Linked DNA regions of Rhinolophus ferrumequinum. The protein of the gene in region 2 interacts with the protein of the main gene of each other region in a pairwise test. Links are inferred from orthologs where the notes say so. Each region holds a gene or a part of one and is shown on either strand. Other genes may lie near its edges.

Evidence for each region.
Region 1: the proteins of CLEC7A (region 2) and TMEM79 interact in binary tests that used the Homo sapiens proteins (3 or more experiments, as listed by UniProt). The two-hybrid records come from large-scale screens. The link is inferred for Rhinolophus ferrumequinum from reciprocal best matches to the Homo sapiens genes CLEC7A and TMEM79.
Region 3: the proteins of CLEC7A (region 2) and BNIP3L interact in binary tests that used the Homo sapiens proteins (3 or more experiments, as listed by UniProt). The two-hybrid records come from large-scale screens. The link is inferred for Rhinolophus ferrumequinum from reciprocal best matches to the Homo sapiens genes CLEC7A and BNIP3L.

Annotation. Positions count from the first base shown.
Region 1 is NC_046305.1:816,166-824,247, forward strand, and holds the start of TMEM79 (transmembrane protein 79), read left to right. Parts: upstream 1-4,528; 5' UTR 4,529-4,645; intron 4,646-5,434; 5' UTR 5,435-5,477; coding exon 5,478-6,228; intron 6,229-6,486; coding exon 6,487-6,700; intron 6,701-8,082. Other genes in the region: nonsense-mediated mRNA decay factor SMG5, read right to left, coding at 3,115-3,188.
Region 2 is NC_046293.1:25,859,427-25,867,801, forward strand, and holds the start of CLEC7A (C-type lectin domain family 7 member A), read right to left. Parts: upstream 3,542-8,375; 5' UTR 3,448-3,541; coding exon 3,345-3,447; intron 1,770-3,344; coding exon 1,674-1,769; intron 391-1,673; coding exon 253-390; intron 1-252.
Region 3 is NC_046301.1:40,966,640-40,974,641, reverse strand, and holds the start of BNIP3L (BCL2/adenovirus E1B 19 kDa protein-interacting protein 3-like), read left to right. Parts: upstream 1-4,448; 5' UTR 4,449-4,465; coding exon 4,466-4,592; intron 4,593-5,244; coding exon 5,245-5,428; intron 5,429-8,002.

The DNA of each region.
Region 1 (8,082 bases), on a different chromosome or scaffold from region 2:
CAAAACATCGACAGTGCCAAGGACGAGGGACCCTGCGACACGGGAAGTGGACTCTCCCAGGGGAAAAAGCACAGGCAGCAAATCTAGGGTTTGAGCCCTGGCCGTGCCTCCCTAACTCTGTAACTTGGGGCAAATTACTCTTTAAGCCTTAGTTACCACACCCACAGCAATGGAGATAATAGTATATGCAGTTACTGCAGAGGCTGTCGTGAGGATTAAATAAAATAACCTATATACAACATTGGTATATGGCAGGCAGTCAACAAGGAAAGGAATGAATGAATGATTACGGAAGGGCTTCTTATCTCTGACATAAAGGAGTGCCATTCCTAGCATGGAGTTCTGCTTTGGAATAGTGGGTATGGGAAAGCGGGGTGGGGATTCCTGAGCTGCTTCATCATAAGGGCTCCTGGATTCTGCTGAACGAACTATTTGCTTAGTACAGAGTGTAGGCTCTGGCTCTAATTCTCACCAGCTATGTGGTCCAGGGCAAAATAGCTATCTGACTTCCTTATGCCTCAGTTCTTCCATCTATAAAATGGGAATAACATTATCACCTATTTTGTGGGGATTAAAGTGGCTAATGCAGAAAGCACTCATGACAGTGGTCCATACATAGCAAGTGCCCAGTAAGTCTGACCTTCACCCTTCTTGTTATAAGGCTGCGGAGGAGACACCAGACGCTAAGTGAAAAGGCCAAGGAAATTCGGTGGATGGCTAAGACGTTCCAGAGGGAGGTGTCATCTCTGGAAGGGTAAAACCCAGAAGGTGACAGACAGCAGCTGTGACAACAGGGGAATCAGGCACAGCTCTGGACACAAAAGCAACCGGTACTCAGGGAGTGATAATTCTGAGAACAGTCCGGATCGTTCCAGAAGACTGAAACGTGCTGCTGGACTGAGGAAAGTGGGCCATAGCAGGCGGGCGCCCTGTGGGGGCTCAGGGCGTACAGTACTAAAAGCTGCCCTATACAGGGCAGAATGACAGTGAGTGAGATGGTAATCAGGCCTTGTCACAAGCAGTCCTGAGAGCTCAGCCTTTCTCCAACCACGCTGGGCTGCCCAGAGGTGGGAGCCAAGCCCTGTAGCCAGCCTGACCCTGGATGCCAGGGGCACAGGCAGTCGTCAGGGATTTACTCTATGCCAGCTTAGTCCCCAGGGCAGGGCTTTTAACTTCAGTGCCCTAGACAGATGTGGGCGGGTGTGTGTGTGTGTTTATGGACAGGCTCTAGAGTGCTCCCTCCATTCTAAAGGTTAATAACCACTACGCTGGGAAGTTCTAACTGAAAATTCTTAAACCTGCGAGGACGCAGCACTGTTTGCTCCATTCCCCATCAGACCATAAGCTCCTCCACTCGACTGTAATTTCCTGTAGAACAAAACCCACAAAAACTGTCTTGTGTCTCATTCACTACTGTACTCCCAGGCCTAGAACAGTGTCAAAAAAGAAAAATGTTTTTAAAAACTAGTTCGTTGGCCTAATTAATTGGTGCTTGTGTCCCTTTCAGCATCCTTTCTCCAGCTGCCTGCCTTCTGAGGGGCTGAAAACGTTTCAGAATTTCATTTCTGTAAGCCGTTAGATTGTGAGAAAGTCCCAAATTTACTGAAGCTCACAGTGACAATTCCAGTCTCACAACACACACTTATGTGGGGCAGAGAAACAAGACCTCCCTCCCCCAGTTCCTTCTCCACCCACCCTTGCTACAATAAATTATAAAAACAGAGACCCGCCGCCTCCAGTTCCCACGCTGCTCAAAGCTGACAACACACGACTGCAGGCAGACTTCCACGAGCACACAGGTCAGCCACACATCGGCTTAAGCCAATCAGTCCTGTGCAGGTAGTGGCTTGAGAAAATACTAGATTTGAGAATGATCGGGATGACCAGAGCCTTTACCAAAGCTGGAGACAAGTAAGGCGTCTTGCAGACACTGCCCACGCTCTGTCTGACAGGCAGCTCTGACACACGTGCCACCTGGGGGCAGCCCACAGTGGGAGCCCAGGGGCTGCGGGACTGGATCACTTTTCTATTTTGGGAGCAGCCCACGCTCCCCTCTGTCTCCGAAGCCGAGCAGGCAGGATGCCCACTCAGGAGGAAAAGACAACATGCTCTTGACTCTTTCACTGCCAAGACAGGGCCCAGGGCTCCGAAGGTCCATCTCTCGTGCAAACCCTTCTATTCAACAGAGCCTGAGCCAAAGGAAAACCGCAATCCCTACTCCCTACCAGAAAGGAGAAAACCCAACTGGAGTCTCTATGCTTCATTCTATGTCCATCCAGTTCTAGAGCCCAGGTTCCAGCTGCCGAACACAAAATATCCTTGACCCAGGGTGGGAAGAACTCATCCTGGCCGGTTCCCAACACAGGACTGAAGGGCTACAGACGCCGCGGAGCGTGAGAGGCACTGCGGAAATCAGAAACCAAGACTGGAGGTTGCCTGGCAAAGGACTGGAGTCATGAGGCTGGGGCGCCGGCAGGAGTCAGGAGTCCCCAGGTGCCCTGAAACGGGCTCCCGTGAACCAAGGACACTGGACTCCAAGTCCTTCTGGGCCCTTTCAGTCCAACAGTCTTCCAGCCTCTTTCCTTTCATTCAGAATCCCAAAAATGTGAGCCATAAGGGACCTCAGGACGTATCACATCCAAATTTCTCCTTTTAAGGACGAGGACGCTCAGGCCCAAGGTCACACCGTGAGACGCGGCAAGGCGAGGACCTAACCTGGCTCTCCCGATTTCGGTCCTGCGGGGTTCTCAGGGCTCATCCCTTCCGGGTTCTCCTCCATCTCGGACTCCACCCTCACCTCCCCCACCCCTGCAGCCCTCAAGTCCCCCCCACCTTTGCTGACCCCAAAACCGCAAAGCTCGGTGCCCGCCCCAAGTTCACCGCTGTGGGGATCCCTCCCTCCACGTGCTTCCTTCCCAACCTCCCACCCACCCAACCTCTTCTTTCAGCTCCGTCCCGGGTTAGGGGGCCCCCCACCCGCTCCCTCCAAAACTGCACCCTCCTCCCTCGCCCGCGCCCCAGCCCGGCGCCCGGGCCCCGCCCGCCTGGAGGCCCCGCCCCTCGCTGTCCCCCCACTTCCCTCCGCGACTGCACTCACGCCCCGGCCCCTCTCACCGGTAAAGCCGCTTGGTGTGGAGGACCTTTGCTTCGGGCTCGCTGCTCTCCCCTGGGGGGGGGCCTTGGCTCATGGTGCCCGGGCCCGGGGGCGGCTTCCGGTCACAGGCCCCCGCCACCCACCGCTACCTCCACCACTGCCGTCTCCGGCCGTAGCCGCAGCCGCCACCGCTGCCGGCCCTGCTCGGCCGCCATCGCTGAGGCGGCTGCCCGCGACTCCTCCTCCGCCTGCCAAATCTCGCGATAGCAGCTGCACAGCTGCGGGCCAGTGGCCGGCGGCTACCAAATCTCGCGAAACTCGTTTTCCCTCCCGGGAAGTTGCCAGAACTAACTCTGGGCAGCATGGCCTCTTTCCGGCTTCTTCAAGCCCTTGCGAAAAACTTTATTGACAAAGCTGCTCGAGAACGGACAGTGGACCCAGCCAGAAGGGGGAAGCTAAGCTCAGTGGGGCAAATGGGCTCACGCTAGAGCTGGGAGCGGATTTTGCGTTGTCCTACGGTGGTCATTTATAATCCACCCTTCTGCCCCTTCACCTCCCCTCACTCCATTTGAGTCGAGTCTCTTTCAGATTATGGTCAGAATTTTTTAGGAAAAAAATGTCACAAAGCTCAAATGCCTTTAGTGGTGAGGTCCCACAGGAACGAGAAGTCCCTCTCTCACTCATGTTTCTGCCCCCGGGTCGACCCATTGAAAAGATCACCTTGGATTCCTATTGCTCTCTTGACCTTAAACCTAAGGTAAAAAGCAAGGTATTTGGGGGTGGGGGACTGTGTACGCGTTGAAATGGGAACATAAATACCCCCTCCGCCACTGTGCCGCTGGTTCCAGCCACCGCCCTTCTTTCTGTTCCTGAAACTGCCAGTCTTTCTCACTCATTGGCCTTTCACTTGCTGTTCCACTGCCTGCAACACTCCCACTCCTCATTTCCCTTCAGGTCTCAGCTCAAAAGGCACCTTGGCAGAAAGGTTTTCCCTGTTGAAATTGTCTCATTTATTGAGTCGCTAGGCTTCTTTATTATCTGTGACCCCAAGAGAACGGGCTCCGCAAGGGCCGAGCCTTTGCCTGTTATCTTGTTGTCTCTGGAGTCTGTGCCTAGAACAGTGCCTGGCTAATAACAGGTGCTCAGTAAATGTGAATAAATAAGTGTAGAAATTCCATCTCTTTTCTGGGTATTCCAACCTACTCCAAGCACCCTGTGATGCACAAACCCCATGGTCCCCCTCTGTTTTCGTGAGCCAGGAGCCCTTACACATGCCATTTGCCTAGAACACACGCTTACTTCTATGCCCAGCTGCACCCCCACTTTCAGAAAGGATGACAGGCGACCTCTAAGGCTTTTTCTGTCGGCAGATTCAGCAGGGCGGGGCCTGCCCCTTTAAGCTGGGCCCCACCTGCTCCGGTCAGACTGGTTTGGAAACACAGGTAAAGGGAGGGAGACCAGAGGGTTACTTGCAGAGCCAGCAGGGAGCTGGGCAGCTCCTTCCCAGACACTGTGGGGACTGGGGACCCTGCGTCTCTCTCCAGATGGAAAGTAAGAGGGTGTCATGGGCCAAAATGGCAAGGGGTAGGAAGCCATTGTGGAGGTGGAGGGAGGGGCTGAGCCCCATCAAGAAGCAGAGAGACGGAGAACGGAGGGGACGGCAGGGAGGGGAGAGACCGGCGAGGAGGCATGGGGAACAGCCATGGTAGGACCTAGAAGTCAGAATGGACAGACGCAGGCCCTCTGCAGATGGATGAGGTGGGCTAGTGAGGAGTTTGGCAACTGCCCATGTCCCCAGACTAGAGACGAAAGAACAGGGTGCACTGCTATGCCAGTTCCCTGGGACAGATTTGTTGGCAAATCACTGGGATCAGTTACCAGGAGGGTTCCAAGCAGGGATCTGCAGGGAAGGCGAGGTTTGAAGGTGAAGGGGCAGCTTCTCTGTCCGCAAGGAGGTCCTTAGTGGGAAGGCAGCTCTTGGCAAAATTCTAGGCACCTCCTGTCCCTCCCTTTCCTGCATGAAGGTGGCCATGACCCCAGGGGTTTTGGTGGAGGGGAGCAGAAGGCGTGGGTGGGGACTGGCTGAGGCCACAACTGCCAAGACCTATGCCCCCTGACTCACCCGCTCCTGCTGGCTGGCGTTTGATGTCAGAAGGGTGCCTCCATTTCAGCTGCTCACGTCTCTCCTTCCTCACTCTGTTTCAACACCTTCCTGCATGCCATGTTCTCCCCAAGGTCCCAGAAGGGGAGTGCCAACTGCCCTGGAGAGTTCGGTTCTGTCAACCCATCCTAAGGGCCAGAGGACGGAACTTCTGACAGAGCTTTCCTGTTAATCTCTAGGGTGACATGACCTCACGGTAGACCCCAGAACTGAGGTCCCAGGATGACAGAGCCCGAACACCTGGCCCTGCTGGAAGTGAAGGGGCCAGAGGCCCAGGAGAAGAGCTCACCCCAAGCCTTGGTCCCCAATGGCCGGCAGCCAGAAGGGGAAAGTGGGGCCGAGTCCCCCAGCGCTGAGCCCTCCAGCGTGGGATCTTCAGCTGGGTCTCCCACAGCTGGAGAGGGGACAAAGGATGGTCTGGACAGCACAGTGAGCGAGGCTGCCACCTTGCCCTGGGGGACTGGCCCCCAGGCCACTGCCCCATTCCCGGACCCCCCCGGCTGGCGGGACATGGGGCCTGAGCTCCTGGAGTCGGAGCCGCCTGGCAAACCAGAGGAGCTGTGTGACGATGACGTGGACCTGCTGCCCGAGAAGGCGCCACGGGCCTTTGTGCCCATCGACCTGCAGTGCATCGAGCGGCGGCCCCAGGAGGACCTTGCTGTGCGCTGTGAGGCCGGTGAGGCAGAGCGCCGCCGGACCTTCCTGCCCACCCGAGCCACCCCTCCTGAGCCCTCAGAGCGCAAGTGGGCCGAGGCCGTGGTGAGGCCACCCGGCCGCTCCTGTGGGGGCTGCGGGGGCCACGAGGGGCTGAGGGCTGTGGCCTCCGTGGCAGCCGCCCTGGTCCTCTTCCCCTGCCTGCTGTACGGGGCGTACGCCTTCCTGCCCTTCGATGCCCCTCGGCTGCCCACCATGAGTTCCCGCCTCGTCTACACGCTGCGCTGCGGGGTCTTCGCCACCTTCCCCATCGTGCTGGGTGAGCCTGGGCCCTGTGAGAAGGAAGGGGCATCTGGGAGCTGGACTCGAGGGCAGGGCCTGCCTGGCTGGGGAGCAGAAGTTTCCCTTTACTGAGGCTGGACCCTCGGGGCCTTGCGCGCTCTGCCACCCTGTGTGCCTGCCCCTCCCAGGACCCCAAGCCCCACTGTGGAGACCCATGCCCATGAGCTCTCCACCATGCGCCCTGCCCCCGCTTCCTGCCTCGTGCTCTCTGACCCTGCATCTCCATCCCTGCCAGGCCTCCTTGTGTACGGGCTGAGTCTGCTGTGCTTTTCCGCCCTGCGGCCCTTTGGGGAGCCCCGGCGGGAGGTAGAGATCCACCGGCAGTACGTGGCCCAGTCGGTCCAGCTCTTCATCCTCTACTTCTTCAACCTGGCCGTGCTTTCCACCTACCTGCCCCAAGACACCCTCAAACTGCTCCCTCTGCTCACTGGCCTCTTCGCCATCTCCCGGTGAGCTGCGGCTGGGGGTGGGGCACAGGGGAGGTAATGGCGCTAGAGGGACCCAGGTGAGTGAATGTGCAGAGAGCCCGGGTCGCGGGGTCCGGGAGCTGTCTGGATCCTGCGCTGGCCCAAATGTGCGCCCTGGAAAGGTGAGTCCACTTTCTCCCTTGCACCTTACCTCACCTGGTAGCAGGTGATCAGCTCAAACGTCTTCCCACAGGAAGCCGATTTCGGAGACTCATATACCATCTAGAACTGGAAGGGCTTCCAGGTGTCATTGCAGCCACCCACCGGTGACACTCTGGTCAGGTAGCCGTTGGCCTCTAGTTGGACACCCCCTGTGACCAAGGGCTCAGTTCTTTATCTGGCAGTCTGTTTCGTTTTTCAAAGGTCCTCGTTATTAGGAAGTTCTTTGTGTTGTGCTAAAGACTGCTGCCCTGACCCTGATCTCTGGAATTGCCTAGGACAAATTCGGATATTTGACAACAGCTCTGTTCCCCTACTCCAGCACCCTGCTCCCCGTGTTTACTTTGCTAAGTGGCCCTGACCCCTTCACCGTCTTTCTCTATGGGCAGGAAATTCTCCTGCTGGTCAAATGGGGTGAGGGTGGGGGGCTGGTGAAAGGTATTGGTCTTCGGCTCATACAAACCAAGGCCACGTTAGCTCTCACGGCAGCCTCATTACTCTCCTTTCATTTCGAATTTAGTCCCATGAAATCCTTAGGGGTGTTTCCATGGGAACTACTGTTAACCCAGAAGACACCTTTGAATTTCTGAAGCCAAATAAACACAGGTCTTTCCATTTTTGCCCCTAATACATTTCCTTTTGTCACTATCAATATACAATTCCCGGTAGCTTTAACTGCTAAGAAAGTCTTCCTATCGAGCTAACATTTGTCTTCCTGTTACTTTTGATTGTAGTCTAGTTGTCCTCTGTCCCCTCAGCCTCCTAACCATCACACAGTCCTGTATTTTCTCCCAGGAGATGTTTCCCGAGATAAATGTTCCTCCACCTTTTGTAACTCCACCTCCGTCTCTGGGAGTGCTGGTGTCAGGTAGAAGTTGGCTTAGGCGGTAAGACTCATCAGGGAGCTAAAGACTCAGCGACTGTCTGGTCCATCTGACCCATTTCCTGGAGAGGAAACCACGACAGACTGGGGGAATCTCAGGGCAGGACTAGAATCCAGGTCCCCTCCCTCCCTCATCCAAGGTGCTTTCTTCTCTACCACAGGCAAGTTCCTTAAGCATTTTGTGTCTCCATTTCATCATCTCTGAACTCGAGTTGTGAGGATTAAATGAGTTAATTTTTGTAGAGTGCATACAACAGTTTGGCACTTGGTAAGGGTTCGCTGTGAACTTTTATTGTTATTACAACTCGCTGCCTCCTGGGGC
Region 2 (8,375 bases):
TGATTTGAAAAAAAAAAAAAATACAACTTAGAACTGTCCGGCCAAGTACATGAGGGTATCTATGATATCACTTTATTGTATATATGACAGGGGCATATTAGAGTGAGATAATACTGATGTGTGCTTTCCTTGAATGCACAATCATGTAAAAGTGCTCTCTTCACCCACCCCCCACCCCCGCTCTAGGCTGGAACACCAATAATTAACTCTTCTGAATCCAGAATTCCATTAATCATTTAACTCTGCCCTTGCCTGTGGTTTTGAGAGCCTTGGTAGGAGCCACACTCTGTTCTAAAGATGATTGTGTGGATTGACTGTGGTTCTCTTTATTCCTTGACGGAAAATTGTCATTCTTCAATGAGTTGCTTCCTGAATTGGATCTCCACATACCTTCACATGCCACCAACAACAATAATGACAACAACAACAAAAAATCATTTTACTATGTTTGAAAATTAAAATCCCCAAACCCATATTTTTGTTGTAATATAAAGAGATGCATTCTTGATTAATGATTAATAGGTAATACACTGCTGATGGAGGGGTAAAGACAGAGAGATGATAGATAGATGGACAGTGTGGGGACAAAGCCAGGGGTGCAGTTTCCAGGCTCTCGGCCTCATGTGGAAAGGTGCTGGCTCAGGTAGCACCTGAGCGGGAGCTGAGACCCCACGTGATACCCCGCATGACAGATATATATATATATATATATATAGATGGTAGGTAGATAGATAGATAGATAGATAGATAGATAGATAGATAGATAGATAGATAGACAGATGATAGATAGATTAAATAGATAGAAAAAAATAACTTCCACATGGACGGTATAGTAAAAAAGAGAAAAATGAAGCAGGTTGAGAAGGAGAATAAGTATTAAGGAGAAAGCAAGTGACAGATAGAATAGAGTTAATTGGAGCCATGATAGATTTGAAATTATAGTAAATTTTCTACCTTTCTCTGTGTTTTAAAAATGAGAGCTCCTTGAAAACCTGTCCAGTACTTATAACATAGACTGTACCCAATAAACATTTGAATAATTAAGGAATCTAATAAAGACTCCCTGAGAGCACAATAATACTTTATTGACAATAGAATGCTTGAGATATAAAATCTAAGGAAAGTCATTCATTAATCACAAAATATGTACTTAGTATTTAGTAAGTGCCTCAGGTAAGTAACTGGTATAATCCAAAGGAGTTTAGATTAAAGATGAGGTTTAAAATAGTTTCCTTAAATCATGAGATTCATAAAAATAGCTTATAGTCTCTTTAGGGCATTTGTTTTATTAGGAAGCTAGCACCAAAATATACTTCCATCTTAACCTTTACTAGTTTTCTTCCATTAATTTATCCTGGGAATTCTACAGCTTTGAAATCAGCCATTCAAGGATGGTAATAGAGCAATGTACTTAAAAGTCTGAATTTTTCAGACAGATGTCCTAAATTTCTAATTGTGGTCTTACCACTAACTAGTTTATGATCCTGGAAAAGTAAAATAAATTCCCAGGCTCTCACTTCCCTTATTAATAAACTGGAAATTAATAACACCAATTCAATAGGGTTAATATACAGATTAAATTAGATTATGCATGCCAAGCTTTTAAAAAATTGTCTACTATATTATAAATGCTTATTAAATGTTTCTTGTTAATCTTCCCCAGCAATACTCACCCGTGGCACCCAGGACCACAGCTATCACCAGTATTATCAAGCATAGGATTCCCAAAATCACAGCAATGGAACGCCAGTGAGATATCCCACAATATCCTGAAGACCAGACAGAGCAGAAATTGAATGAAGAAATAAGACAATGGATTGTGGAGTACTTAAATTCTATAATTCATTAAAATCTGGCAAATTCTGAAGTGAACCATTAATCACTGATAACCAGATACTCCAGTTATCCAGAATTAGTCTGAATTTTCCCCCAACTTCAGCATTCGTCTTCAGGTTCTGGAAATGTAATTTGAGTGAGTTGATAACTATGCACTCCTGATTTCAGTGAGTTGATAACTATGCACTCCTGATTTCAGTTCCACATTGATGGCTCTACAACTCACACCACCAGGATTCATGAAATCCCACTCATTCTTGGAAGATACAGCAGAAATACAGGGGAAATAACACTGATGACTAAGGGTAATCTTCCCTTTTTACTTATTTGTTGCATGATCTTGGGCAAATTACTTCTTCTGTTTTTCCATTTCTCTTTGTACAATATTGGGGTAATAATACTTCAAAGGATTATTGTGGGAATTAAATGAGATAACACATGTAAAAGCACCCAGTTCAGAGATGACTAGCACATTACAGGTTTGTCCACACCTATGCATAAACACATGCACGCCTCCCTACCTTTTGCATTATCCAATTTTTCCACTCTCCCCCAAAAGGTTACCCAAGAAAAGTATTGCGTAAGTGGTGAGAGAAAAATAATTGTGCAATGTGAACTACCAGAAAGCAGAAGAGAGCAAACTGATGTCAAAACCTATGAATAATCTCTCTTGATAACAGGGGTCTAATTTATGTTAACATCACCACCAAGAACATAGTTTTGCCTTTGACTGAGAATAAGCAGTAACAACATTTCAGAGTTGTCAAATAGGAGAATCATAAAGGAGACTAAATGGCTCATTTTATGAGGAGAGAAATCTTTTAACACTATTCTCCATATATCATTTTTACGTTTTGTTTAAGACTCATGTCCTGCTAATAAATTCTTTTCATCTATAACATATATTTTTATTCACTGGTATATGAAGAATTGCTTTTTGTTTAAAAAAATCCAAATCAAGCTCTTACCACAGTACACATATCAAATTTGGGATTATAAATCCTATGACTTCTGACTTCCCTTTGGCCTTTACCACAAAATCACAAGTTTGTTTTTTTCCCTCACCTATCTTTCTTCTTTTCATTCTTCTCTTTCTCATCTCCAGTATCCTGATATTGTTAATATACTTCTTTAAGTTTCCTGAACTTCCATTCTACAATTTAGACCTTTCTATCAAACAAGCAATAAGCCACTCCTATTGAAATTCTTTCATCTTTGCAATTCGTCATACGTATTACCAACTCCTCACTACAGAAGTTTCTATTTCTATGGAACAGACACATTGTATTTTCTGTCATCATCATAATTAATTTAAACACTATTAATTAGCCACTGAATGGTTGCCATGAAAAATGTCTTAGTGCACATTCAAATTATCTTCAGTGACTTCTGAAAAACTTTTAAAATGTAGTAATAAAATCCCCACAAATCACAAGCCTCTCAAGTTTTCTCCACTTAAGTTTTTAGTTGATGAGAATGAAAATGTTGAAGGCATAAAGAAAAAATACCTTTCTCTGAGAACACAGGTCTCCTGGGGACATTTCGAGAGCTGAAGTCTAATTTAGTATATCCATCTTCATCCAAATTTTCTAAGTCAGGGTGATATTCCATTGTTCTATTGCGTTCCTGAATTGACAGAGCATTTGAGAGCTCTTTCCTCTCTTCCAAGACAACTCCTTGTGAACAAAAGAGGATCTATGAGTCAAATCACGTGGGATAGGCCTTTACTGAGCTTTAACAACTTGAGCTTAAGTAGTCCTACCAGTTATCCAAAAGCAGGAAATGGAGACGATGCTGTGTTAAGTTCCCATTTGTACCTTTAGATCCTGTTTCTGAGACTGATGACTCTTAAGGAAATTATAAGGTCTCATAACAGGTTGGGCTTTGTTTCAGACCAAATAAAAGAAATATGAAAAGATTGACATCTTATGCTGTTTTCATTATTTTTACAACTGAATTTGACATCATTAATTGACTTGGCCTATACAAATGTAAAAAAAATTTTGGTACCTTAAGTTTACCATTACTTCACTATAACTACACATTCCTTCATTTATTCATGTATTCAGTCATTCACTAAACATTTGTCAAATGCCCGTCTTTTCAATTGGCAGGAGCTGGGGATACAAGAAAAAATGATACCTGTGAAGGAGCTCATTGTTTCATAGAGTAAATCCACAGATGGATATATGAAGGATGCCATAAAGAGGGACATTGCTGTAACGACACAGAGAGGAAACAAAGCTTTTCTGGGATTTGTTAGAGATTAATAATAAAAAGTAGTAATTATTTATTAAACAATTACCATGAGGTAGGTACTACCCTGTGCACATGTTTTTTTCATTCAATCTTAATTTTCCAACAAGTCCTTGTGGTAGGTATTATTTGTCCTTCTTTTAAATGACGAAGATAAGACACAGAAATTTTAGTCCCTTGCTCACTTTTAAGAAGCTAATAAAAACATTGAAGGAAGGAATCAAACCAAAATCTACTGTTTCTGCACAATTCATGATCTTTTTTTTTTTCAGAAACTGCCTCTTTCACCATTCTGTCCGCCTATATTGCTAGTAACTGCTTATGAAGAATTCTGGGACTGAAATATTATGTTAAATGTTTGATTTTTCTCTCTCTCTCATCCAATTGCTATTGTAATGCCCCAATTAAGGAGATATGGAAAACAGTTATCCTTGCTGGAAACTAGTGATGTATCCGACCCATTTACAAGACTAAAGTGAACAGAATGAAGGAGATATCTGACATTGAAGCAATGAGGACAGATGTCCCTCAGTAGTGCTATTACAACAGAGAAGAGGACCAAGCATGAACTAAACTCAACTTCTCCAAAAAAAAAGGACTGAAGACTTTTTAAAGGCTTGGGTGAGCTCAGGAAAAGGCACTGAATCTCCTTAAGGGGGGTGGTGAGAATTAATTCATGTGACGTCATCTGGATTTGTTAACTGATGCATATCCAGAAGAGAAAAAAACTATCCTCATGACAGGAGGCAGTGGTGTTGAAACTGGGTGGTGCTCCCACTGACGTTACACCCTCTTATCCTCCCACAGGAACTGGGAGAGCAAGAGGTATGTCCCTAACTCCCTGATTGTTTGCATTCAAAGAGATGGCTCTCAGGTCCTTGAAGAAATTTTCATAACCTTCTTATATCAGTGTCTCACAGCTGTGTTTGTGCCGACATGTGGCGGTGTCTTGCTGAGTCGCCTTCATTATTGTTGTTGCATGTTTTTGTGTGCCATCATGAGAATGTCTGCGCTTGAATTAGAGCAACGGACAAACATTAAATTTCTTGTTAAACTTGGCAAGAAAGGAAGTGAAATCAGGGACATATTAGTCTGAGTTTATGGGGATAGTGCCATGAAGAAAAGCAGTGTGCAAATGGATTAAATGTTTTTCTGAGGGGAGAGAACGTGTCACTGATGAAGAGAGGCCAGGGTGGACAGTAATGAGCAGAATTGATGAAAACATTGCAAATATTCATTGAATTGTGCATCAAAATCATCGGCAGACTGTGAAAAGCACAGCAGACCAAGTAAACATTGATAGAGAAACAGCTAGAAAAATCTTAACTGAAAATCTTGGCATGAGATATGCGTGTGCAAAATGATCCTGAAGGATGCTCACCAATGAACAAAAACAAAGGAGAGTCGAAGTTTGCCAAGACCTTTAGGAAAGGCAAGACAATGTGTTGGGCTGTGTTATAACTGGTGATGAAATATTAGTGTATCAATATGACCCTGAAGCAAAGTGTCAAAATGCGCAGTGGAAGTCAGCCAATTCTCCACAACCACAAAAATTCCGTCAGTCCAAATCAAGAGTCAAAACGATGTTGCTAACCTTTTTGATATCAGAAGGATTATTCATTATTAATCTGTACCAACTGGACAAACAGTTAACCAAGTTTACTATTTGGAAGTGCTGAAAAAGCTGCGTGAAAAAGATGAAAATGACAACAATTCATGGCTCTTGCATCACAGCTATGCACCAGCTCACACGGCACTGTCTGTGAGGGAGTTTTTAGCCAGTAAACAAATAACTGTATTGGAGCGCTCTCCCTACTCACCTGATCTGGCCCCCAATGACTTCTTTCTTTACCTGAAGGTAAAAGAAATATTGAAAGGAAGACATTTTGATGACATTCAGGACATCAAGGATAATACGATGACAGCTCTGATGGCCATTCCATAAAAAGAGTTCCAAAATTGCTTTGAAGCGTGGATTAGGCGCTGGTATTGGTGCATAGTTTCCCAAGGGGAATATTTTGCAGGTGACCGTAGTGATATTCAGCAATGAGGTATGTAGAACTTTTTCTAGGGTGAGTTTGCGAACATAATTGTCAGAACTTGTATATCTCAACTGTTTATGATTAGTCTCCCATCCACATGTTTGTAAGCTCCATGAGTTAAGAATATCGCTTGTCTTGGTCACTGATATATCCCATGTACCTAAACTAACTTCTGATTCATTGTAGGTTATCAATAAATATATGTTGGGTTGATATATAAATGAATGTGTAAAAATAAATGAAAGTACTTAAAAAGTAATACCATATGTACAATACATGTATAACTACCTTCATATATTATAACATAAAATAACCCAGTTCTATTGTCTGATTTGGTTTTTGAACTCCAAAAGGACAAGCATTCTATTTCCGTTGGTATTCTGTATCCAATGTGTTGGGCAGTGTCTCAATAGTCCTATCTACTGGGGGAAATAGACAAGAAAACAAACAATTATGCTTCTTGTGAACTAAGAAATAAACTCTAGGTAATTCCAAGTTCTAGTCCCAAATCACAACCAACTTATCTTTAAATTGCCTTAGAAGAACAGGGGAAAATGAAGAATGGTGGTTATTATTTTTAAGTGGGAGCTGTTTTTTTGTTTGTATATTTGTTTTAAGTTATATGTGCCATTGTCTCTCTTTCTTCCACCACAGTGACTCTTCTTTCTCTTTTGCATTTGCTTTTTATTACATGGGCCATCCATATTTTGGTTGAATATGTTGACTATGTTTTATTTATTTATTTTTTTGTGCATTAAACTTAAACTCAGCATTTTCTTTTATAGGAAGAAAAATTATAGCCAAAGGTGAAGCACGACAGACCAAACAAGAAAGTCTTTAGATTGCCCCAGTATTGATACAACCAGAGAATCTCTGATTTTGCTTGTTTTATATGCGGGAATTTCATACATAATTTCATTTAAAAAAAAAAATTGAACCCATCAAATATTTGGAAGATATTCACCTGGTATATTTCATTCATTCATTCATTCCTTTTAATTTTTTTTTAAGATGGGAAACAACTCAAGATAAGGAAATTGGATTGCATGGGGGGTAATATCTTCAAGTTATTGTCAGAACTTCTAAATTCAAAGTCCATGTTATATCTAATAAATGTATCATGTTGTCCTGTTGCTCCTTATTCTATCACTGATTGACTGAGTGACTTTAGCTGTGTTGTTTAATTTTTCTCTTCTTGTTTCCTCACCAGTGAAATGATGACGGGTCTTAAATCTCTGTTGGGATCCTTGGATGGTGAATAGGAGGGGTACAGGAAACGAAAATATTAGATTCCTGGTGGTGTGTGATCTGAACTAAGTCAGTATGAATTAATCAAAAAGATTTATGTCCTCTGCCCATTTTTTGATTGGATTGTTTATTTTTTTTGTTATTGAGTTGTATGTGTTTCTTATATATTTTGGATATAATCCCCTTATTGGATATATCATTTGTGAATATAGTCCCACATCCAATGGGCTGCCGTTTGGTTTTGTTGAGGTGTCTTTCACTGCACAGAAGCTTTTTAATTTGACTTGGTCTCATTTGTTTGCTTTTGCATTTGTTTACCTTGCTCAAGGGGACATATCCAAAAAAGTATTACTCAGAATGATGCTTATTTCCTGTGTGTGTGTTTTTTTTTAGAAGTTTTATGGCTTCAGGCCTTACATTTAAGTCTTTAGACCCATTTTGAGTTTATTTTTGTATATGGTATAAGACAGTGGTCCACTTTCATTTTTTTGCATGTTCTTGTATCTATCCAGTTTCCCAACACGACTTGTTGAAGAGATTGTTGTTACTCCAGTGTATATTTTTACCTCTTCTGTCATAGATTAGTGACCATATAAGCAAGGGTTTATTTCTGGGCTCTCTTTCTATTCCATTGATCTATGTGTCCGTTTTTGTGCCAGTCCAGTACTGTTTTTATTATTATAGTGTTGTAGTATAGTCTGAGATCAGGGACCATGCTACCTCCTCCAAAGAAGACATACAGATAGCCAACAGACATGAAAAGGTGCTCAACATCACTAATCATCAGAAAAATGCAAATGAAAACCACAACAAGATACCACCTCACACTAGTCAGAATGGCTATTATCAAAAAGTCAAAAAGCAAATGTGTTGGCAAGGCTGTGGAGAAAAGGGAACCCTTGTGCACTGTTGGTGGGCCTGCGAACTGGTACAGCCTCTATGAAAAACAGTATGGAGGTTCCTCAAAAAAGCTAAAAATAGTTATACCATCTG
Region 3 (8,002 bases), on a different chromosome or scaffold from region 2:
TCGCTGGCTGCCGGCCACTCATGCTGGGCTGGCTGCCGGCCGCTCCTGGCAGCACGCAGCAGCCCAGCTCCAGGGAGAGCTGTTGTTCACAATCTTAGCTGTAGAGGGCGCAGCTCACTGGCTCATGTGGGAATCGAACCGGTGACCTCGGCTTTAGGAGCACGGTGCTCCAACCACCTGAGCCACCAGGTTGGCCCAATTGTGTGGTTCTTATTCTCTCAGAATGTTACTCCACCTAGTGTAATGTACAGAGGTCACCTGCCTATCTCTTTTTAGTACACTGTCTCTTTAATTGTACTCATTGTGTTCCTGTGATACTTATAAGTTAGCTGTTTGGTTAATATGTGTACATGATTTCACAGAAAGCAAAGGAATTGTAATTTCCTTTCACCATTTAACAAAAAAAAAAACAATGGGGTTGAGCTATACGTGATTGTTTAATCTCCATGTCTGACAGACCCGTGAGGTATGTGATGTTCTTGGCCAAGCAGTTGCTGCTACGTTTATGTTAGCTCTTCGGAAGTGGAAGAACACTCAGCATGTGTGTGATATCAAAATGTTGCTTTGGGAAATCTGCTAGATAGAAAGTATTTTATTTGGGGTAGGGTGACCTTTTAAGTTACTGAAAAGCTTTTAGATAGTGCCATATTTAATTACTCCCCTCTTGCTTTTTACTGTGTTTGTTTTTTTTGTTTTTTGTTTTTTTTAGCTCATTATACAACACTGAACTGAACAAAACAAGAAGCCTTATTGATTCCTTCAAGTGATTTTTGGGCAGAACAGCTTATTCAGGCATCTAACATGTGCTACCCAAATTGCTGATAAGTTGAAGTTCTTTTTCTTTTTGCAAAACTGTGAAAAACAGGAGATGAACTCATTGTAGAGATTATCTCTGCCTTGGGATTTTATCTTTAGTTCAAGGGTCAAAGCAGAGTGTTAATAACAAATTATTGAAATATTTGGAATAATGAAATCTTTCTCTGACTTTTTTTGTTTACCATCGTAGGGGAACTATTCACTTTGATTACAAATTAGTAAACACACAGATCTGAATTATTTCCAAAGCTAAAAGGTTATTTTCTAGTTTTACTTTTAAGAAAACTATTGTTAGTTTTACTCTTAAGAAAACTATTAAGTTACTTAAGAATATTTGTGTAGGACATATAGGTCGTAAAAATCAGAAGGTAATAGGAAAATCAAGGTAGCAGTATAACTCTTGTTGTTTAACATGGGAAGCACAGCCTTTTTTCTCCTTTTTAAACATCTACCATGACGTTCTTGCTCCCCCAGTATGACAGGAAGGCTTTTAAGGCTATGACACATGAAACTTCACTGTTTATAATACTATTTTTAACACATAAGTAACTGGTGTCTTGAGTACCTGCTTGTGCAAAAAGACCAATTCTTTTTTTTTTTTTTTTTTAAATAGGAATGTCAGTGACTATTTCTGTTCTGGATTCCAGCATTAGGTATTTGAAATAAATAAAGGCTTTGGGGAAAGAAGATAAGACATAATGAAATGTGTCACCCCGGTTAGGGTTAGAGTGACACGTGGGGCCTTGTCATCTTGTGGAAAATGAGAACTAGTACTCTTTTTCTTTCCCTCTCCCTCCCCACCCCTAACTTTCCCACACCCCTTCTTGAAAGAGGATTGAACTGGTGACCATAAAACTATGAAGAGTGTGTACAACAATAGTCATGAATATAATGACAATCACTGGACCAACCTTCGCCATGTACTACTATGTTGGAGAAAGTGGAAGGATGGGTCTCTGAATCTCTTAGTGAGTCTCAGAAACTTGTATTAGAAAATATCTCATGTGCTGTGTATATGTACCATCCGGCATGACAGAACAGTTTTCAGTTTGTAAGGAGGCTTTGAATATAATAGAGCCTGCATGTTTTTTTTTTTTTTTTTTAATTTTAAAGCTTGATTGGTAGAAAGAGAATTCACTCTGAGATTGTTTTCTACTTTGTATTGCTTGGACAGCACAATCATATCTGACCATGTTTCCTTTCCAAGTAAGAAGGGACTTAGGATTGGTAGAATTAGAACATTAAAAAATTCTGAGGCTGTGAATAGGGAGTAAACTAGGTGATGGAAAAAAGGCACATGTAGTTCATCTATTGAGAAAGATAAGTTTGCTTTCCCCCCCATTTTTCTCAAAAGATAAAGCTGATATGGAGCCTCTTAATGAATATCTGTGTACATAATTTTCTCTGCAGTACTGTTTTTCCATAGATGATATTTCTGGAAGAGAATTATTAAGTTAAAGGAAATCTACCTTTTTAAGGCTCCTAATACATATTGCCAAGTTACCCTCCACTGAAGCCTTGATTTTAATAACATTAGAAACAGTAATTTCGTTAATGGTTAACCATTGCCATTTGGAGAATGGTTAAAGTATGGTATAGCTTTATGATGAGAAGCAAAGCAATGTTTAAAAGAATGAAGTAAGGCAATATATATTGATGTTGAAAGACATCTGCAAGTTGTTAGGTAAGGAATGCTACTTACCGAAAGATATATACAGTATGATTCCATGTTTTTGTAAAAGCTCTAGAAGTTTACATGTAAAAGTTTTAAAAGTGGTTTCCTTTGGTATAGGAATGTGAGATTGGGAGAAGTATTAATTTCTACTTTATGTACTGATGTTGGCATTTTCAAGGAACACATTTTTGTAAATAATTTTTTTTAAAGGAGTATAATTATAACATTAGCTAACACATAGCACTTACCATGTACTAGGCACCTTTTGTATTTTTTTTATGTGCTTTATTCATTTCATCCTCCTAACTATGAAGTAGATACAGTTATTATTCTTACTTTACAGATTAGAAAACTGAGAGATCTAGGGTGTAACAGGTATAAGTGATAGGATGGGAGTCTGGCTTCCGTCTGTGCACTTAACCACTATACTAGTAATATATGCACAAACAATATTGTCTGCCTAAAGTAGAAATGCCTTCAGTTAGGCTGAGGGTTAGGGCCATTGCAGAAATCACTTCACTAAGCTTTTCTAGGTATGTCTCCTCAAGTTCCTAGGTTATGATTCCTTACATATTTTTTGCAGGAAGTAGAAATGGTTTAGAAATCCTTCAAAAAAGTAAGGTCTAGAAAACCTGCTATTGTTACACCCCTTTTTCTCTTTGGTCAGCTACAAGTGAACATTAATTTTATTTTGAGGAAGATTTGCTTCCACAGAGACCTCTCCAGAACTCCTGATAGCTTATGCAGTCCTGCTTCTGCCAGAGCAGAAGCAGGCTTTTTATTTGTTTTTGTTTATTTTACACATTGGGCTTTTGTACAAGAAGAACAGGTCCCATTGGTTTAAAGTAAGTTTGAAAATTCTAGAAACAGTAGAAAAAAAGTTTATCATATACCGCTGTCTTTCTGTGTCTCTCTCTTTCTAGTTAAAATATTTTGCAGAGCCCTAAATTTAGGACTGCGTTTGGCATATGTTTTATACACGCCAGAGGCACTGCAAATATTTAGTAAAATTACGTTCAGTGTTAGGTCTGTCTTAGCTTTGTTAGTTAAGTTTGTTGATCCATGTTGAGTTCTATCTAGTCTGTGTCCATTTTTGTGTGTATATAGAACGAGAACACGGAGATGTCATACAACTGTTTTTTGACAGTATCGTCCCAAAGAATCGGTGCTGATTAAGGGATTGTGACAACCCCGGGACGGCCTTAGAGGGAAAGGAAGGAAAGGGTAACTTCATTTTTATTTAGCAAACACTGTTTTAAGTGCTTTACAAATAAAAACTCTTTTAAGTAGTATATAACAGCATCTACTGTTTACTAGGTCCTTTACCTATGTTCCTATATTTAATCTTTATAGCAGCCCTGGAAGGTAGGTACTATGTAATCTGTTTTACAAATGAGGAAACTCAGGGTCAGAAAGTCAGATAGATAGTAAGGGGTGGAGTCAGATTTCCAACCAGGTTTGCCTTTGAGCTTTTCCTTCTGATGATGCTGAGTTCACTTCTGGATCTGGAATAGTCATCACCTCATTTAGAGTGCCTTTGGGTTTCGAACCTGTTTTCATGATTATTCTGATTTACTGGTAGAAGACTGTTCAGCCACAAAACTCTCTCTAATGCTTCTGCTGGGAGTTTAGAGGAATGGCCCCACCAACCCGCTTGACTGTACTTTCTAAAACAAATTTTATTGTAAAGAATGGAAATTATGAGAAAAAACATACACTACTGTCTCTTTTTGTTGTAAGGTTGGCTTATTGGCTGCCAACATGTCCCTTCTCACCCTCTATCCACCAACACATTAGCTACCTGAATGTGTTCAGCAAACTCATTGAACCAATAAATATTTTCAAGACCTAGCCAAATTACCAGAGCCACGCCCCTTTCCTGTGGCTCCACTCCCTTTGTTCCCCTGAGAAAACTTAAGTGTTGCCTGTAGCAGATCCTCAGCCATTTCTGCCCCGCAAAACTAATGAGGCTTAATGAAAACCCTAGAAAGTAGGAACTCGTGGGAGAGAAGAGAGAAAAGACAAGTTCACAAGGTATGTTTAATGCGTAGAGAAAGAGTGAGGTATAAAGAAAAGGAAGAAACTAATTCGTGGGATAGAGGTAAAACTTTTTTCAGAATTTTTAGCAACCTGATTTAGTTGAGAGCCGGCTGCGTTAATTTTATGCTCCAGATTTGTACACAAATTGAAATTTTTTTGATTGTATTTAAGTTCCCTCTCTAGGAGCTTCTCAGTTGTTTGTGCTAAGTATGACTTAGTTGTTAATTTATTTAGATGACTTTTATGAAGTTTTTAAGTCGTATGTTTATTTCATTTGTGGAGAGGATACAACTAAATGGCTGGGGTAGACTATGAAAAAATCATATATAACTAGAATATTGAAGGTAAGTAGCCTGTCTAAAAATAAAATAGCGATTTATTTTTTAAAAAGTGACCTAAAAGCTTTTACTGAAGTGTTTATTGTATATAAACTAAGCTTTAACCAGAGAGAAAATTGACTGAAAGATACATTTTCTAAGATACTAGTTTTAGAGTCCCAGCTTCTAAATTGGTTGCTTATGTGAGCTACATCAGGGACAGAACTATATAGATTTTTAGATGTTTATTGCTCTTTGCTTATTTTCTTCAGAATTCTTTCTGCATTTGGTTTAGGTGAGTCAGACTTATCTGAATTCCCCATATTCACATCTGTGTGCACATGACAGACTGCAGTTCTGCTGTGGTTAACGTAAGTTATCTGACTTGTCCAACAGGTTCCTGGGTGGAGCTACCCATGAACAGCACCAATGGCAATGATAATGGCAACGGGAAAAACGGGGGGCTGGAACACGTCCCTTCCTCATCCTCCATCCACAATGGAGACATGGAGAAGATTCTCTTGGATGCACAACATGAATCAGGACAGAGTAGTTCAAGAGGCAGCTCTCACTGTGACAGGTAAGTAAGAGCCGCATTTTGGTAGAATTCAGGAAACAGATGGGTTACAAGGGGAACTCCCGTTAGAAAAAATAAATGCTTACATCTTCATTTAATCAAAATAGGATTCTTGATTTAGTGCAGCATGTGTATTTAAATCAGACAGCTGACTGACAAGTACTTGAGTGCCCTTTGTTTTCCCCCAGATTAAATCAATGTCCTTACCAGATTGTATCATTTTTAGATGTTTATCAGTTTAAAAGTCAATGGCATAAATGTTTTTTCTTTTTTTTTTTTAAAGATTTTATTGGGGAAGGGGTACAGGACTTTATTGGGGAACAGTGTGTATTTCCAGGCCTTTTTTCCAAGTCAAGTTGTTGTCCTTTCCGTCTTAGTTGTGGAGGGCTCAGCTCAGCTCCAGGTCCAGTTGCCGTTTTCTAGTTGCAGGGGGCACAGCCCACCATCCCTTGTGGGAGTTGAACCGGCAACCTTGTGGTTGAGAGGACACGCTCCAACCAACTGAGCCATCCAGGAGCTCAGCGGCAGCTCAGTTCAAGGTGCCCTGTTCAATCTTAGTTGCAGGGGGCAGAGCCCACCATCCCTTGCGGGACTCGAGGAATTGAACTGGCAACCTTGTGGTTGAGAGCCCACTGGCCCATGTGGGAATCGAACCGGCAGCCTTCGGAGTTAGGAGCATGGAGCTCTAACCGCCTGAGCCACCAGGCCAGCCCCATAAATGTTTATGTACAGAATTAATCTGACTTTCTTCCATTTTCCTTTGTGCCTCTGTTTCACAGATCACATTCTCCTAGACTACGGTTATCTCTGTGTATCTCTGTCCTCCCTTCTAGATGGTGAGGCTTTAAAAGGCAGGGGTCATGTTTCATCTCCTTTGTACTCTCACAGTAACGGGGCTGGCATGTAGTAGACACTCAGTAAATGTTTGTGTCATAGGAACTGCAAATTGATTCAAGTTACAGCAGTATTTACACGGAAACACCAACCAAGGTCTGTAAAGATAGTTCATTTTGAAGGTCATTCTGTTTTCTTAGAGCAAGTTTTATTTCAGACCTCATTTTGGTATATTTGAGTTAAGAAAACTAATTCCACTGATTAAGGGCTGCTTATGGTGAAAGAATAAGAATATAGAGATAGGTATGAGTGTAATGAAACCGAGCTATGTTTATTTTTCAGTATAAGTGAAGTGTCTCTTTTTTTTAGAGGGTCCAGCTATTAAATGACAGTGGTATATTGAACAATGCTTAGACCAGTGGCAGCCATACTGGTAGTATGCTGGGGTGCTGGATGATCTTCTGGTTAATTAAGAGTTAACTGATATCTGCCCTGTAGAAAATGCAAATGCACATGAAAAAGATGAAGGAAACATTTAAAAATGTAGACAGTGATTAGGGGGTAGAATTACAGGTTTTTCTTCTAAGTATTTTTGTGTTTTGTAAAAATTGTGTATATGGCACATATTATTGCTTATCAGAAAAAATATAAAAGGAGAAACAGAGTTAAATTGTGTTTGAAGTGCCTGTATGTCTTATGACCCAGGCACGTTCCCAAGGCAGCAGAGGACTGGTTTGCCTGCTCTGTGCACCCCCACCACCCCATCTCCTCTCTGACTTTTCCCTGTGCTTCTTAAAAGCCTGGGGTAGCTCTAACATAAGCAGAAGCAGAACAGATGGCCCTTTTCTGAGCAGCTTGCCATTGATTCCAGTAGCTACAGCGTTAGTCTGTCTTTCAGAATGAAGTTTATATTAATACACAGGCAGACCTCAGAGATATTGTGGGTTTGGTTCCAGATCACCACAGAAAAACAAAAACTAAAGTGCGTTGTAATCTTTTTGCTGGTGGAGGGTCTCTTGCCTTCAATTTGTAAAAAATGCAACATCTGTGACGTGCAATAATAAAGTGAAGCGGACAAAATAAAAGTGCACAAAATAAAATACCAATGCATCAGTGGGCCTCTGAAGTTTTCTGTTCATTGAGGGCCTGTTGAGAAAGCTTTTCCTGTACATCCAAGTTTACATGACCATTAATCATTGGTGCCAGTGTGTCCCTTAACTTGTTGTTTACTTGGTGCTCTCATGGAGCAGAGAGAAAGTCACCAGCTTGCCTTTCAGGTTATCTTGTTTCATTTATGGTTGCAATTATCCTTGTGGTTCAATATGAATTCACCTTCCCGTGATTGTCTGTACGTTGTGTTTCTAAAGATGTGAAGTGAGGTATGGCAAATGCTTTTGAACACTTTCTTATCGCTTGGCCTGTGTATCTTGAGGCTCTGGGTTACGGGTCATGTTTCAGAGGAGGCCTAGAACTCTTATCTAGCTCTAGTACTCTCCGGGGATGCAGCACACGTGAACATTTAAAAGTGTCTTCCGAATTCATGCCGTTTGAATTGCCATGCATCTCTATGTTTGAAGTTGTTGAGGGGTGTTTCTTGTAGGTGGAAAAGTTGTAGAATTGTTGGATATTAGTCCCAAAGCTAATTTATGTGTACTTTCAATTTAAAAATGGTTCCACCGATATATTTTTGTCACTATGGTGGTCATTAGCAGATAACTCTTTGTGTTTTGCTTTGTGTTCCAC